Callithrix jacchus: one gene and its partners. The protein of the gene in region 3 interacts with the protein of the main gene of each other region in a pairwise test. Links are inferred from orthologs where the notes say so. Each region holds a gene or a part of one and is shown on either strand. Other genes may lie near its edges.

Region 1 (5,199 bases), on a different chromosome or scaffold from region 3:
TTGACAGAATACTTCAGGAAATATTGACCCAAAGCTTTACTTTAAATCATATGATGCTTCTCACTGCTACCTCAATTCCAGTGACTTTAAATTCCGTATGATGTAACACAGCCAGTAGGGAACAAATATATCCTTCTTTGAACTATGACAAAAGTCAAAACAGAGAAACAGAAATGTTAAGAGGAGGATAAATCCATAAAACCCATAAATTATGCTAACGTCTCCATTTCAGAAGCCTATCCACAATGCTAACTGCTTCTCTGACCAAGAGTCTTTTGAAAAAACAGTAACCATCTTCTATCTGTGATGCTATGAAGACTGGGGCCAAAGAATCCACAAAACTGTTAAATGAATAGCTAATGAAAGATATGAGCTTAGGTTAGGGACAAAGCAGAAAAACGATGTTAGAAATAACTTAGAAAAAAGAAGACTTGGTTCTTCATGTGCATAGTGTGCCAATGGTAAAGATGTATATGTATGTTCTTGCTACCTTGAAAACTAAAATTAGTTCTGTTCACATTATAGAGACTATATGTAGAATGGACCTAGAAAAACTTGAAAATGTGAAGAGGACTGAACTGGCTGGCATCTGTGCATCTTTATCTATGAAAACACTCCTCATAGACTTAAATGACAGAGAACAAATTAGTCAGCTTCTTCTAAAATACAGTAGCCTCCCCTTATCCTCAGTTTCACTTTCTGCAGTCAACTGCAGTCCAAAAATACTACATACAATTAGATATTCAGAAAGCAAGTAACTACATTTACATAAAAGTTATTTCAGTATATTGTTATAATTGTTCTATTTTATTATTAGTTGTTGTTGTTACTGTGCCTAACCTATACATTAAACTTTATCACAGGTATACATACATAAGTAAAAACATAGTATATGTAGGATTTGGTACTATTCATGATTCAGGCATCCACTGGGGATCTTGGAAGGTATGCCCCTCAGATAAGGGGGGACTACTGTAAACAGAAAAGGACAACAATTCAAATTGTTAAAAATTGAATCTTGAAAGTTATCCCTTACCATAGATTAAAATATATGATCTGAGCTGAAAGAATGGCAAGCAATGGAGACAATATTTCTCTTCTGTTTCTAGTAGATATTTTCAATGTTAAACATAGCTTAAAAAAATACAACCCTCTTTTAAGAGCTTAAACCAGGGTAGCTGTGCTGATTAGCTTACGTGGTTAGTTCACAGTGCCAAGGACAGGGTTTCAATCTCACTCTTCTCAGTTGTCCTGCCAGAGATTGTTGTTTCAGACTAGGCCAGCCATTTGACAGATATAAGCCACCGGCCCCAAGGAACACAAGCCAGACAGTGGTGGTCAGTTGACAGATATAAGCCATTTGACAATTATAAGCCACCGGCCCCAAGGAACTCAAGCCAGACAGCAAACCTTGAGCGTCACTGGTAAAATTAAGTAGGTGTCCTATTGCATCATTTCCATACACAGAAAACCATAGAAATACATTCTCTTTTTCTTGAGAGTCGTTTTTCAACTATCAATACCTATAAGGTTTAAAAATATTTTCAGAGGAAAATAATTTAGCAACTAGAATGTGTACCATTTATTATCATTATTTGTTCTTCATTCAAGTGTTACCTTACCAGAGAATTCCTTGACACTCTCATTTCCTTAATCTGCTTATTTTTCTTCCTAGTACTTTCCACTGACTAATGTCATAGTAAATATTTACTTATTTATTTTTTGGAGATGGAGTCTCACTCTGTTGCCAGGCTAGAGTGTAGTGGCACAATCTCAGCTCACTGCAATCTCCACCTCCCAGGTTCAAGTGATTCCCCTGCCTTAGCCTCTCAAGTAGCTGGGACTACAGGCATGTACCACTAAACCTGGCTAATTTTTTACATTTTAGTAGAGACGGAGTTTCACCACGTTGGCCAGGATGGTCTCGATCTCCTGACCTCATGATCTGCCCACCTCAGCCTCCCAAAGTGCTGGGATCACAGGGGTGAGCCACTGCGCCTGGCCTTAAGTATTTATTTATTTGGTGTCTGCCTTTGCCAACTGGAATGTGAGCTGCCTGGCAGGGCAAGGCCTTAGCTTGGTATGTGTTTCTGGTATATCTTCAGGGCCCAGAACAGGGCCTTGGCACACCCACATCTACTGAATAAACTTTTGATGAATTCTGCCACATATTTATTACAGGAGTTTAATTCATGGGTATCTTTAACGTAGATCATTAACAAGCCAAGAACATACTGCTAACTATTGAACCAGAATTTATTTGTTGTCTATAGACTGCATCCTAGATAGCAAAAGAACTCAAGACTTTAGACATGGCCCTTCCAAGTTTCAAAGGTGTGCAACATCTTCATCATTTATTTCCATGGGATTAGTCAATGTGGGTGACAAACTGACACTGAATGCAAGGCAGTGGGACTGGCTACTCAACTCATTCTCAGTAATAAAATCTTAAATTATCAAAACCAGTGTCTTTCTCAATCAGACTATGAGAAATGAGTACCAGATCCTTTTGATCTGGGTAGGAAAAGATAAAAGATATAAAAAGAAAAAAGAAAAGAGAAATGAGTACCAGAGAAAAGAAATAGAACAACAATATACTTATAAATTAAAGCTTTAAAAAAAGCTACAGCTTATTTTTCAACTCCAATTAACTAAACTAAAATAAACTAAATAAACTAAAATTTAAATGGATAATGTATACCCTTCCATTCTCTCTCCCATTGCTGAACTTAAAAATTAATGAATTAGATTATCTGGAAGGTAAAAGAACAAATCAATAGGAAGGTTACAATAAAGAAAGGCCATGGATAAACAATGTAATCTCTGGAAGAATTCCCAAATCTCAACCCTTTAGCACAGTGGACTACTGTACTATTCTATCCTCTTTAGATGTATATGTATTTATCTGAGGCCATGTGCAGCAGAAAAATCTACCCATTCACAATCATACTGCTAGTCAATGACAGTACCAGACCTGCAACTGTGGTCTCTGAACGCGAAGCTTTTTCTAACATATTCTGCAGTCTTTGCATTCAGAAAGAGATATGAAGAAACTATTTTAATTTTCATGACCTAAATAAAACTTTGCCCACTCCAGTGTGAAATAACAAGAGTACCAGAAAAGAAATCAGAAGACTTGGGATTTCATCCTGGTTCAGTATTACCAACCAGTTCCATTACCTTGGGCAAGATACTTCACCTCTCAGAGTCTCAGAAAGGGTTAGTCTGATATAATTTCCAAGCTTCAGCCATTCACAGACTACATTAATAATTTTGGCCACATTCATGCTGTTAATTTACTTGATATGTCACTTTAAATGAATGCACAGTTTTAAAATATAAGTAACTTTAGTCCTGTTCTAAGCAATATTTATGAAATTTACATGTTCATATAATATAGATTTTTCTAATTTACATTAAACTATGTAAACGACAATGTGTTCCACTTACAATAAATCACATCTTGGAAAGTATATTTTTAAGGTCCTTCATAGCTCTAAAACTCTAATATGCTAATTAAGTCTCACAGTTTTGCTATCATAAAAACAGGTGTATAAAAAGGTTAAAAAGTATAATCTCATCACCATGAGTTACATAATGAGCACCCCCACCATTTTCCACATGGTCACAAAGTTGGCTACTTCTTATATAGAAAAATTAATCAAGTCACTGAATTAAAAACTGGAGATAAAAACCAAGAGAAACAGAGTAAATCACCAAATAAAAGGGATATATATGTGTATTTCTCAATTCAGCGAGGTCCAATAATTAAAATAGATTTGCTTCTCCGGATTCTAAACAAAAAGTTGACCCCCATCCCAACTTTCTCTTTCCCACTACTCAATCTTCATTTTCCTCAGTCTCCAAAACCTTTTTAAGAAGATACTAGAGCCTCCCTAAGAGAACTGAGTTATGTGTGAGAAACAAGACATAAGTACACGAAAATGTCACTGGCTCCTATATACTATTTAGTAAAAACAATTTTTTTAAGGTTCTCAAATTATCAAGAACTATCACTGCTTTTCATACCTGAACCAGCCAGATGCCATCTTTTGTGTCTTCTACAAGCTCATAGAAGTGCATCTCACCACTGAAATTGGTACTAGAAACAGATTCGGATGCTTCTTCTTCCTTGAGAGCAGAATAGAGCTCACCCTCCATCAAGTCACCTGAAGAAAGGAAAATAATAATACTAATAAGGTTGCAAAAATCCTAGATTCCCAATTTCAGTAATTCCATTTTTTACACTGTTAAGAATCATGTTATTTTACTTTCAATTGTATTCTAGAGACAAGAACTACTAGTAGAACCTGAGTGTACTCACTTAAGAGTCATACATTCAGTAAGTATGTAGTAAGAACTTACTGTGTGTCAGGCAAAAGTGAACAAAATAGACAAAAATCCGTCTTTTATAGAACAGGGCTTACATTTTAGTGGGATTATCACATAATTATTAGGAAATTACTGAATTTGTACCAGTCCAAAAAGGCATCACCTTATTAATTATTTAGCTTTGTGTATGACATATCCAGGCTTCATACACATTTTTAAACAGTATGACTTATATGCTTCTTATTTAAAAGATTTAGAATTGGGTTCACAGAATTTGTCATCAGCCCTGCTTAAAAGAGCAACAGGATTTGTGTGACTTGGAGGTTAGAACTTTACCTGTTAGAACAAACTCCACATTCATATACAAATTTACGTGCAAATTTGTATCATTAAACAAATTAACATTAAATGTACCATTAAACAAAAGGAAAAAAAACCACTAAGGTCAAATTATTTTAACTTTCACCTTAATATGAAACAGTGAGAAGCCAAGCACTGCAGCATGATAGCAGCAAAACCATTCACATATCTTACAGTTAAACTGCCATACCATGAGTTTTCTGCCATAAAGTGTGTGATTTGAGTCATACTTTTGTGGGCTGTGCATCTTTAAGTTATATGTGGACTCCTAATACATTCAAAATGCCAAGTATTTGCAGGCCCAAAAGAAGGCAATAATAAATAGCAGTCAAAAGAAAAAAATATGTGTGATCAAACTATTTTCCATAAAAAAAATAATTTGGTTTTGGCAGTTAAGACACTTCTCATCTCTAAACCAAGCGAGTTTATTTATTAGAGCTCTTATTCTAGTTACTCCATTTCTTCCCCCTGGAGTAGAAATAAGAATCACCACAAACCAGTCAGTAA
Region 2 (5,255 bases), on a different chromosome or scaffold from region 3:
GCATCTAATCAATTGTGCACCGAAATCCTTACCCTTCTAATCTTATAACACAAGAGCAAAAGCTGCTTAGACCTTACACAAAGGCTCCAAAGCAAAAACAAATTTTGCTTCTTGCAGTAATGAAGAACAGAGGAAACAGACATCCTGGAAGAGCCCATGATCTGTTCCAGGTGAGATGGAACCACTGCTGCACATGAAGGTTCATCTCAAATGAACTGCACTGAAAAAGCTAATTACTTTATCGGATAATAGAATAAATCCCTAAAAGCAGCGGTTCTTAATCAGAGTGGTACCATCCATTCCCCAAAGGGCATTTGGGAGTTCCTGGGGACATTTTGGGGTGACACACTGAACTGCTGGATGCTGTCAGCATTAGTAGGTGGGGCCAGGTATGCTCAATGTCTTGCAGAAGGACATGATGGTCCTACACAGTAAAGAATGGATTACCTACAATATTAATAGCAGCCACCCATACACACTTTCAACACTCTCCCTAAAAGACTAATATGCTCCAACTTTCATGTATCCCCACAGGTCAGTGGCTCTCCCTATCCTTACCATAACCGGATGAAAGAACTTAAGATTTCACAGCTTAGGATCGAAATTTTGGAATCCAATTATAAGTTCATAACTCTAGCATGGAACCTGGTGGCAGCATAAGAATAAGTAAATACTTAGTAAGAAAAATAAAAATAAATAATAAATAATAAATAAATAATCATTAAAAAAATAAAAAATTTTAGTAAGAGACAGACTTAAGAAATTTTAGCAAAAAAAAGAACCCCCCCAACACACAAAATTCTGTAATTTTAGAGACACTTCTTATAGTGCTTTTCAGTTCAAAACCAGATACTCATTACAGTTCTTTTAAACACTTAACCAGTCATCTTAAAAATATGGCTAACTCTCTGGACTAAATTTCATAGGAAATATTATTAATTTCAAAACGCCTAATTCTGATCAAATGCCTCAAAGAGCCAAAGGCAATCAAGTCTTGCATCTCACTCAGGGCAGAGTTCGATGAGGTCAGAAAAGCTCCAATGATATCCAGAAGTCTGTTCAGAGATTAAAATACCCTAACAATTCACAAGCTACTTCTAAGTGTTACCCTAAATTAATCACTAATACAGCTACTCCCCCAACACTATTTCACAAATTAAAGTTTATAGAATTAACAAAAAACCAAACCAAATTAAAAAAAAAACCCAGGCTATTTATAGGGGAGGGGGGAGATAACCCAAAAGTCAACCCTGTTTCACAGTGGCTAAAACAGTGATCCAACTGATATTATCCTCCATAAAGTACCCTAAAGGCAGGAGAAATCTTTCCCCCACACAACATCTAAATTTTCCCAACTTACCCAAAAGAATTTGAAAATGTAACTTCTTCACTCAACTTGCCAATTAGTAAATAGCAGTCCCACACCTCTTTTGACCAATTTTCTAGAAGCCTGACCTAGCAGACAAACCTGTTTTCCTCCTGCCAGGTCTTTTCTGTCCCGCCAGTAGGAATCTGGGAAATCCCCCTCCAACCTTTCGCTGGCTTGTCACCAGAAGTTCATAAAATGAATTCATCCAGATTCTTTGAATCCTCCTTTTCCCCAGTCATGTGCCAACTATCAGGCAACAATGCCCCACCTTGACCGGCTCCTTGTTACAAAAACATGCAGATTCACAGGAAGACCAAGCACTTAGCATGAAGCAGAAGAAAAAAGATGGAGGGAGGTGAGAGTCGTGGAGCCAAGCCTGCTGCATGCAGCATGGGTGACCGGAGCCCTGGTCCTGCAAAGCCCCCGCGAGCTTGGCTGGCTGGGCCCTCCATACAGCAGCCACACCTGTCTATGCCAGCCGCCTGCCGACTGCTCCATTTTAAACATTTCAAACAGATCTCCAGCACGGTGGCAAAACTGGGCACCTCTCTCTCCCAGCAAGAGTGAGAGCCCTAATCCAGGCATCACTTGCCCCTAATTTTATTTCATTTTCACACTCTGTTTAGGAGACACTGCTTGCTCCAACTGGCTCCAGCTCTCCGTTACCAGTGAGGCAGGCACAGTGCTGCAGTGGCAGAATGGAAGCACCAAGGCTGACATGCTATCAGCCAGACAAAACCTCTTCACTGAGGGTGATGACAATAAATGGGACTCTAATTGGCAGGCTTCGCTCTGCCCTTCCACAAGTGAACACACGCCGGGAGTCCTAAAACGCCAGGCTCCGCAGCCTTACAGAAAGCCTCGCTTCCAGAAGGTAGGTATCCCATTCATCCCTTGGCATCGGGAACCAAATGGAAGGCAGGCAGTTCCCGGTCGTGCACTACATTCCCAAACCTTGGCACGCACGCGAAGGCTTGGGGCGCCCTGGTACGCCCTCCCTCCGAGGCCTCCACCACCCGCGGACTCACCACTGTGCGAGCTGAACCACCTGGGTCCGATGTGCAGAGGTAGAGCATCCGCCAGCGAGGCTCGGGAGCCCAGGTACAGCATCCCGTCTCTATGGTGACCGCCGCCCGTCTCCTGGTAACCATTGCCATGGGCATAGGTGGAGTCGGACGTGGACCCTCCGCCGCCGGGAGCCCTCTCGGAGTCGCCGGTGCCCCGGGAGGCAGGGGTGTAGAGGCCAAAGGGCACCCCCCCGGCGGTGCTGGGGTCCATGCCCATGCCTGCCACCGAGCTGACCGAGCGGCTGCGCAGCCCCATGGCCCCGCCGCCCGTCCGGTAGTGCCCGAAATGGGGCGCCCCTCCCGGCGGCGGCACGGCGCTGTCATCGGTGGAGACGCCCGGAAAGGGTCCCCGGGAGCGGGCCGCCGTGCTCTGCTTGCCCCCCATGCTTGCCCGAGCCCCGGTGGGGCGGGAACCTGGAGGCCGAGACCCTCCCCCACTTCTCAGCAGCGGGGGGAGGGCTGGGCGAGCATAAAGGGGGAAGGAGTCAAAAAGGAGACCCGAAGGGAGAAAAGGAAAAAAAGCAAAAGAAAAAAGGAAAAAACGGCGGGGCGGAAGAGGCGGGCGGGCGGGGATCCCAAACTCAGAATTTCAAACGATCCAAGCCAAATGCATGTTTCCCCTCAAGGTCCAAAGAGGCGCAGTCCGGCGCGGGCTCCGCGCGCCACAGGCCGCCCCCGGGCTCCGAAAGCCAGGGGGAGCCGCAGGGAAGGAGGGAGGGAGGCGACTGCGAGCGGCGGGCGGGCGCGGGGAGGCGCCGGAGGAGGCCGCCAGCCCCGCGGGAGGAGGCGGAGGAGGGCCGGGGGCGCCAGGCGCGTCCCCCGCCTCAGGACGCCGCGACCATGGACGGCGGCCCGGATACCTCCAGGCCTCGGGCTGGCCGCGGCGCTGGGCGGCCAGGCGCAGCAGGGGAAGCCGCGGTCGCGTCGCGTCGCGTCGCGTCGCGCTCTCGCTCCAGCAGCCCGCCGGCCCGGCCAGCCGCGCCGCCCAGCTCCGTCCCGGGCAGCGCTCGCCGGCGCTCCTCGCCGCCGTGGAGACAATGGAGGGCGGTAGAGCGCAGGCGCGACCCGCGCCTCTCCCTCCCCCCCGCCGGGTTAACCCTTTCGCGGCCCCTGCGGCGCCCCAGCCGCTGACGCCCTAGCGGTTCCCACCCACCGCCCGCCCCCGGCTGGCCTGTAACCTGGGCGGCCTGAGGCACTGGGCGTTAGCCTCAGAAACCAGCCGTCTTTAAAAAGCAAACCCTTCTTAAGTCCCAGAAAGTGGCTAATTATTCAAGGGGAACCGCGCATGGGGGAGGAGCGGCAATGGTTCGAGGGGTGGGAAGGAAACACCGGGAAGGAGATTTACTCCCTACGCCTACCTGACTCTGAGGGTCACCGGTTGAGCTCCCCTCCTGGCACAAATTTGCCCCTACAGCACCCTCTGGTGGACGTGCTGTCCATTCTTTAGGGGGTTCCCTATCCAAGCACCCCTCTCGTCCGGAATCTCAACATTTGGCGGGGTTTAGCTGTTTGGGGGTAAACAGCGCCATGGGGACACTTGTGAATCCGGGGTTTTGCTGACACGAGGTCAGAACTTCCTATTTGGGGCTTAAGCAAATGAGTAGATTCCTTAACTAAAATGTAATTTTCAAAATCAATAGGTGTACCATAAAAAGTGAATAGATATGGACATGGAAATACAACAATGCAGCTAAAAGTGATTATAGAAACCTTCGGTCCAAGGCTGGAGCCCTGTGTTTGTTTACCATGGGCAGTGTTTTGGCCCACACCACAGGCCAAGGACACGTTGACCAAGGCTGCATCATTTTGCAAGGGAGTATTCCTTTGCTACCTCAGTCCCTGTCTTTCTCCTACATCCACATTCATTCATTTAAGAATTGTTTTTCTTTTTCTTTTTTTTTTTTTCTTTGAGACGGAGCCTTGCTCTGCCGCCCACGCTGGACAACCTCTGCCTTCCAGGTTCAAGCGATTATCCTGCCTCACCCTCCCGAGTAAAAAAAAGTCTTGTTAGAAATTTGAAAATCAGGCCAGGTACAGTGGCTCAGGCTTGTAATCCCAGTACTCTGGGAGGCCAAGGCGCGGGAGCGGGGGGAAATCACCGGAGACCAGCCTTGTAAACATGGTGAAACCCCATCTCTACTAAAAAGAAAAGAAAAAAAGCCAGGCATGGTAGCTCACACCTGTAATCTTACCTACTCGGGTAGCTGAGGCAGGAGAATGGCTTGAACCCAGGAGGCAGAGGTTGCAATGAACCAAGATCACATCACTGCACTCCAGACTGGGCAACAGAGTGAGACTCCATCTCAAAATATACACAATATATATGTATATACTAGTATATTGTGTGTATATGTGTGTATACACACAATAGTATATATATGTGTGTGTGTGTGTATATATATATATAAAATAAAGATGGGAGTTTATATAAAATAGGGAAACTCCCATCTTTACTATGTATATACACACACATATATAGCAAAGATGGGAGTTTCCCTATTTTGCCCAGGCAGGAACTCCTGGCCTTAAGCGGTCCTTCCACTTTGGCCTCCCAAGTGCTGGGATTACATCGTGAGTAACTGTGACTGCTGAACAACTATTTGTCAAGTGCTAGGTGCTGGCCGTATCATGAAGTCCCTGGCTTAACTGACTTCCACCTATTAAATGACCCCAGATACTTCTAAAGCAGGGGTAAAACAAAGTGTAGAGAAATATTAAAAGAAAACCAAAAAGAGCAAGGCTAGCCTATCACAGATATTGATTGTTCCAGTGGGGCCAGCCTGTAAACAGAAGGAAAGCTATTGCAAGCATGAAATGCC
Region 3 (5,199 bases):
AGGTTCTTTCCAACCCTATTGATTGGCTAAGCCAAAGGGAAACAAGGTCTACTAAACTATAATAATGCTTTATTTTATTTTATTTTATTTTTTGAAGCAGAGTCTCGCCGTATCGCTAGGCTACAGTACAGTGGTACAATCCCGGCTCACTGAAACTTCTGTTTTCTGGTTTCAAGCAATTCTCCTGCCTCAGCCTTCCAGGTAGCTAGGACTACAGGTGCACGCCATCAGGCCCAGCTAATTTTTTTGTATTGTTTTAGTGGAGAGGGGGTTTCACCATGTTGGCCATGATGGTCTCAATCTATTGACCTCTTGATCCACCCACCTCAGCCTCCTAAAGTGCTGGGATTACAGGCTTGAGCCACTGCACCTGGCCCAATAATGTTTTTTTTTTTTATCTTTGAGAAAGGAGTTCCCCTTAATCCACATCATACAATAACATATAAAGCTGTAATTCAACATTCTGACATTCCACTATGCCTAAAAGTTAGACTACTTTTATTTGTACTTCCTATTCGATCAATATAAAACATACAATAACAAAGCAAGAACATAAAATCACAGAATCAGGAAAGACACTATATTTATCTTTCAAATTATTTTCCAAGAGATATTCTATAATGTAACAATATCAAAACAGATTCCCTTTAAGTCCAATGACATGTCAATTATCTTAAGAGACTGATGTACCAACAGAAAATCATTCAAATACCTACTTTCCAGATCCATCTATTCCTCTAGAGAAAGAGAAACTGTGTATCAAGACAGACCCACTGACTAATGTAATGAAACCAAGATGCACTTGTTGCTAATGTCAGCATTTCTGACTTTACCAACTGAGAGTAGTGGAAAATAAACTATCATTCACTCAATAACTACTTCAATAGATTCTTAATCTCTATTCTGTGTTACTGAACAGGAAAAAAAAATTTATGGTCAAGTAACTGTAAATGAAACCACTGCAATTTTACATGCACATCCTGTATATGCTTCCTTAATGATACACAAAAACACAAACATACTATGGATATGTATTTTATGAATCTGCCATGCCATTTAACTGACTTTAAATACTTAAGTTCCCTATGGTTAAAACCATGTAAAAAAGATCGTCTGTAAGGGGAAAGAAAAATCCATGAAGTTCATGGCTTAAATATCCCGGAAAAAATGATTAAATGCAAAAGAAAAGTAGAACTTAAGATGATAAACTGATACCAAAAATAAAAAGGTTACAATAACTGAGGTACCTTTTAGCACTAGTTGACAACTTAGCAGCGGTTTTGCTGGATATTTTTCCCTCCTTTTTCTTGGGCTGAACTTGTTCTCTTTCTGGTTCTTGCTGAACACTTTCACGTTGATCTCCATCGGAACTTCCTCCACTAGTGCTTGGACTGTCATCAACTCTTTGTGCCTCAGTGGACATTTTAGATCCTAGATTAAAGAATCAAAAATCATTTATTCCGCTGTGAGGAGAATTACAGTACGCTACTTCCATGACACACAGAATGAGCCTCAAAGAAAACAAGTAAATCTCAATATAAAATGGATAAATTGGTCATTTACAAAACAATGCAGTTTTGAGAGTTGCTATAACTTTTCTTTCATCCATTCAAAGTATATTGTAAAATGAAAGCATACAAAATTTATACATGAAATGTTCACAGCGACATTATTCATAATAACCAAAATTGGAAACAACTCAAATATCCACTAAGGGATGAATGGATAAACAAAATGTAGTAGTATATCCACATAATGTACTATTAGCCATAAAAAAGAATGAAGTACAGTGTCTACGTGCTACAAAATGGATGAACCTTGAAACATTATCGTAAGTGAAAGAAGCCAGCCACAAAGGACCACAAACTGTTTGACTATTTATATGAAACGTCCAGACTAGGCAAATCCATAAACACAAAATTCAGTAAGCAGATCTCATGCCTGTAATCCCCAATGCTTTGGGAAGCCCAGGCAGGAACAGCCTGGGCAACATAGTGGGACTCAATCTCTACCAAAAAAAAAAAAAAAAGATTACTATCACTGCATTCCAGCCTGAGTGACAGAGTAATACCCTGTATCAAAGGAAACAAAATTAATAAAAAAAATAAAGAGGGTAAGTGGTTGCCAGGGAGTGAGGGGAGGGAGAGTAGTGAGGATTGACTGCTAATGGGTATGATACTTCCCTTTGGGGTGATATAAATGTTCTTAAATTAGATAATGGTAACATTGCATGATTCTAATTGTAAATATTCTAAGAACTACAGAGTTTTACATTTTTAAAGGGTAAATTTTATGGTATATGAATTACATATAATAATGCTGTTATAAAAAATAGGAAAAAAATGATTAAGGGTCTACTCTCTACCTGGTGCTGTGCTAAGCCCTTTGGTCCTACAACTATGAAAAACCTGGCCCAGTCAACTTGCTAAGTACTAAAACGAAGGTTTGTACAAAAAGCTGTGGGAACAGAAAAATGGGTGGACACTTAAAAATCCCTATTCAAATCAGTACATCCTCAGCACTGGGTTATGGTTAAAATTCTCCAAACTAGTAAATTATTTTAAGTGACCTTTGCAATAACAGATGAACACAAAGGTCTACATGACTGCATGATTCTAAATAAAAACTGAACCGTATGATGGTGTCAGCATTGATTCAGCTGTATACTAAAGCAACCATTTTTCATAAGAGATGGAGACGCTGAAGAATTTTTTTTTTCACAGTCCGGTTAAAATATTCCTCAAGGCTTTCAAATTCCCTCTCCTCTGAGTTCATGCTCCCCGAGCAGCTCTGATTACCAACTCAATTTCCGAAATACCTTGATATTTAGGTAGCTGTTATAACCTAGACAGCAGACACAATTCCTGTAAGTGAAAAGGAATATCTCTTCTCAACTGCCATTCTATCATAATCAATTTCTGAGTTTGATTACTATGAATACATCCCTTATGAGCTAACTAGCTTAGAGTATTCTGACAAATCCAGAACGGAACCAACAAAACCTATGTCCAGACTCTAAAAGGCCTTGTGCTTACCACGGTTTATCACCTAATAATCACTTTGAGCACTGTATAGCTACCTTCTCAGACACCTCTTTGAAAACAAAACTACCTATGCTTAACAAGTACCATTAACACAAAATACACCTTTAAAAATTATAGGTACACTGAACAAATTCCTTTTGAAATGGATTCTTTTGATTAATCAAATTAGAAGTTCAAATAAAACTGTTTCTGATATGATCAAGAATAAGAATACATAAAAATACTTCAAATAAAGCAAAAATTTTAATTACTATAATTTAGTCCAAATAGATAGCTATTTGACACTAATTAAAATTCATCATTAACAAAGATTTAACTTGTAGCTTGCTCTAAGCAAAAGCAATGTTGTAACATGGATCTTTAATGGATTGAAATTTTTATAAGACAAATCAGAAAGCAATGAAAAGAATGGAAGCATCAGGAAGCATAGAGAGGCAAAGAGTCAAAAGAAAACAGTGAATGCTTTCACTGACACACCACATACACCACCACCAGCACCCCTTCAACTACAACAGCTCCCCATGCCAAACAAAAACAGGTCTGCCCCAACAGTTCTGAAACACACTAACGGAAAAGCTGACTACTTTTCTACCTATTCTGTAAATGAAGAGCATCAGTCTCTACAGCTGTGACATCTTTTATGAGCACTAAAGTCACTTAATAGAATGCTGAAATTTTATATCAGTATGTTTCACCGCTAGCTCTAAAAATCGTAACATATTTCTTGCTTTTTTTCAGTTTTATTTCACTCTAAATTCTTATTCTTGGATTTAACATTGTTTTTCTTTCACCTTACTTCTTTCAGTTAAATTTTATCAGATGTTTGAAACCTTGAAAGTATGTACATAATAGCATATCAGATAGGGTGGCATGCATGGGAGTGAAAAAGAGAACAATACTCAGGGAAAGGTGCTCAGATACAGCAAAATGCTGCCAGCAATACCTTAAGAATTGTGAAATGAGACATCATTTTATACATTTTAAACCACAAGCAATCCATTACATGACAAATATATGGGAACCTCAATGAAATAATATTCTCTACACTGAGGCTGCAGCTTCAGTTTAATAAAGTAAGATTTAATAAACTATGCTGAGAGTTTCAGTTGTGTATCACATTAGTTATAAAGCCACACATTCTTCTTAATATTCTTATTTATGTGCATTTACATACTATCAAATAATGCCATAGTTACATAATTCCTTATAAAGATTACTCAATGATACGATCTGAGCCATAATGTGAAACCCAAATTTCATAAACTACTGCCAAATATCAAAGGAAGCCTGAAGTAAAAATTAGTCTCACTAGAGAACTAATAAAAATACTATTAAAAATGCCCCAAAAGAGGCATAATTTCTAGTTTTACATTAAGGAAAAGAATTATTTCCACTTTTGACTTAAGATATCTTATTTCATCCAAATGTTAACCTACAAATGATGAATCCATCTCAGGCCACTGATAACCACTATGGGAACTTTTAGAAATAGTTTTCACATCTCTTTTTCAAATATTACTAATAAAAGGAATTTCTCCTGGGTTTGTTTTTTGAGTACTTGATTACAGAAAAAGTATAGAAAAAAATTGTTGTACCACTCAGGTGAAACAAATTTTCATGAAGAAAAAGTAGTCTATAAATCATTTTAATTAGTCATAAGTGTAAAATTGATGTCTCTCTAAAGTACAAATGAATAAAAATTCCTAACTTAAAGTTCTTTAAACATTATCTTCTAAATTAGCATTTTAAAATAAACTCCTAACAGCTAATCTGAGCCGATTATCTAATCTACAGGGAAGATAAACTTAAATCCCAGGGGTAGAAACAAAGAGTTACTCTCCAATGATAGTTTCAAAGATACTGAGATATATAAATTAATATGCTTATTTCATAACTCAAAGTAAAACTTGATTTTTAAACATAAAATAGTAAGGTAGTCCTTCCTAAAACTATTTTAAGAGACTTACTTTCTGTTCCTTCTTCAACACAAACTAAACCTGTATTAGCTATGTACTCTATGTTGTAATTACAGTCCTGGAAATTAGCAACATACAGTGAATGAAACTCACATGTTCCATAAAAATGAAATGATTTGGCTTGAAGTATCACTGACTACATAAAGCCAACTACAGTCATTCCATAAATTCAGACTACC

Evidence for each region.
Region 1: the proteins of UBE2E2 (region 3) and RNF103 interact in a two-hybrid assay, tested with the Homo sapiens proteins (2 studies listed by BioGRID). The link is inferred for Callithrix jacchus from reciprocal best matches to the Homo sapiens genes UBE2E2 and RNF103.
Region 2: the proteins of UBE2E2 (region 3) and ZNRF1 interact in a two-hybrid assay, tested with the Homo sapiens proteins (2 studies listed by BioGRID and IntAct). The link is inferred for Callithrix jacchus from reciprocal best matches to the Homo sapiens genes UBE2E2 and ZNRF1.

Annotation. Positions count from the first base shown.
Region 1 is NC_133515.1:26,366,027-26,371,225, reverse strand, and holds part of RNF103 (E3 ubiquitin-protein ligase RNF103), read right to left. Parts: intron 4,170-5,199; coding exon 4,030-4,169; intron 1-4,029. UniProt on the Homo sapiens protein: Acts as an E2-dependent E3 ubiquitin-protein ligase, probably involved in the ER-associated protein degradation pathway.
Region 2 is NC_133521.1:32,359,076-32,364,330, reverse strand, and holds the start of ZNRF1 (E3 ubiquitin-protein ligase ZNRF1), read right to left. Parts: upstream 3,476-5,255; 5' UTR 2,822-3,475; coding exon 2,398-2,821; intron 1,684-2,397; exon of another isoform or gene 1,469-1,683; intron 1-1,468. UniProt on the Homo sapiens protein: E3 ubiquitin-protein ligase that plays a role in different processes including cell differentiation, receptor recycling or regulation of inflammation. Mediates the ubiquitination of AKT1 and GLUL, thereby playing a role in neuron cells differentiation.
Region 3 is NC_133518.1:61,543,499-61,548,697, reverse strand, and holds part of UBE2E2 (ubiquitin-conjugating enzyme E2 E2), read right to left. Parts: intron 1,432-5,199; 5' UTR 1,424-1,431; coding exon 1,248-1,423; intron 1-1,247.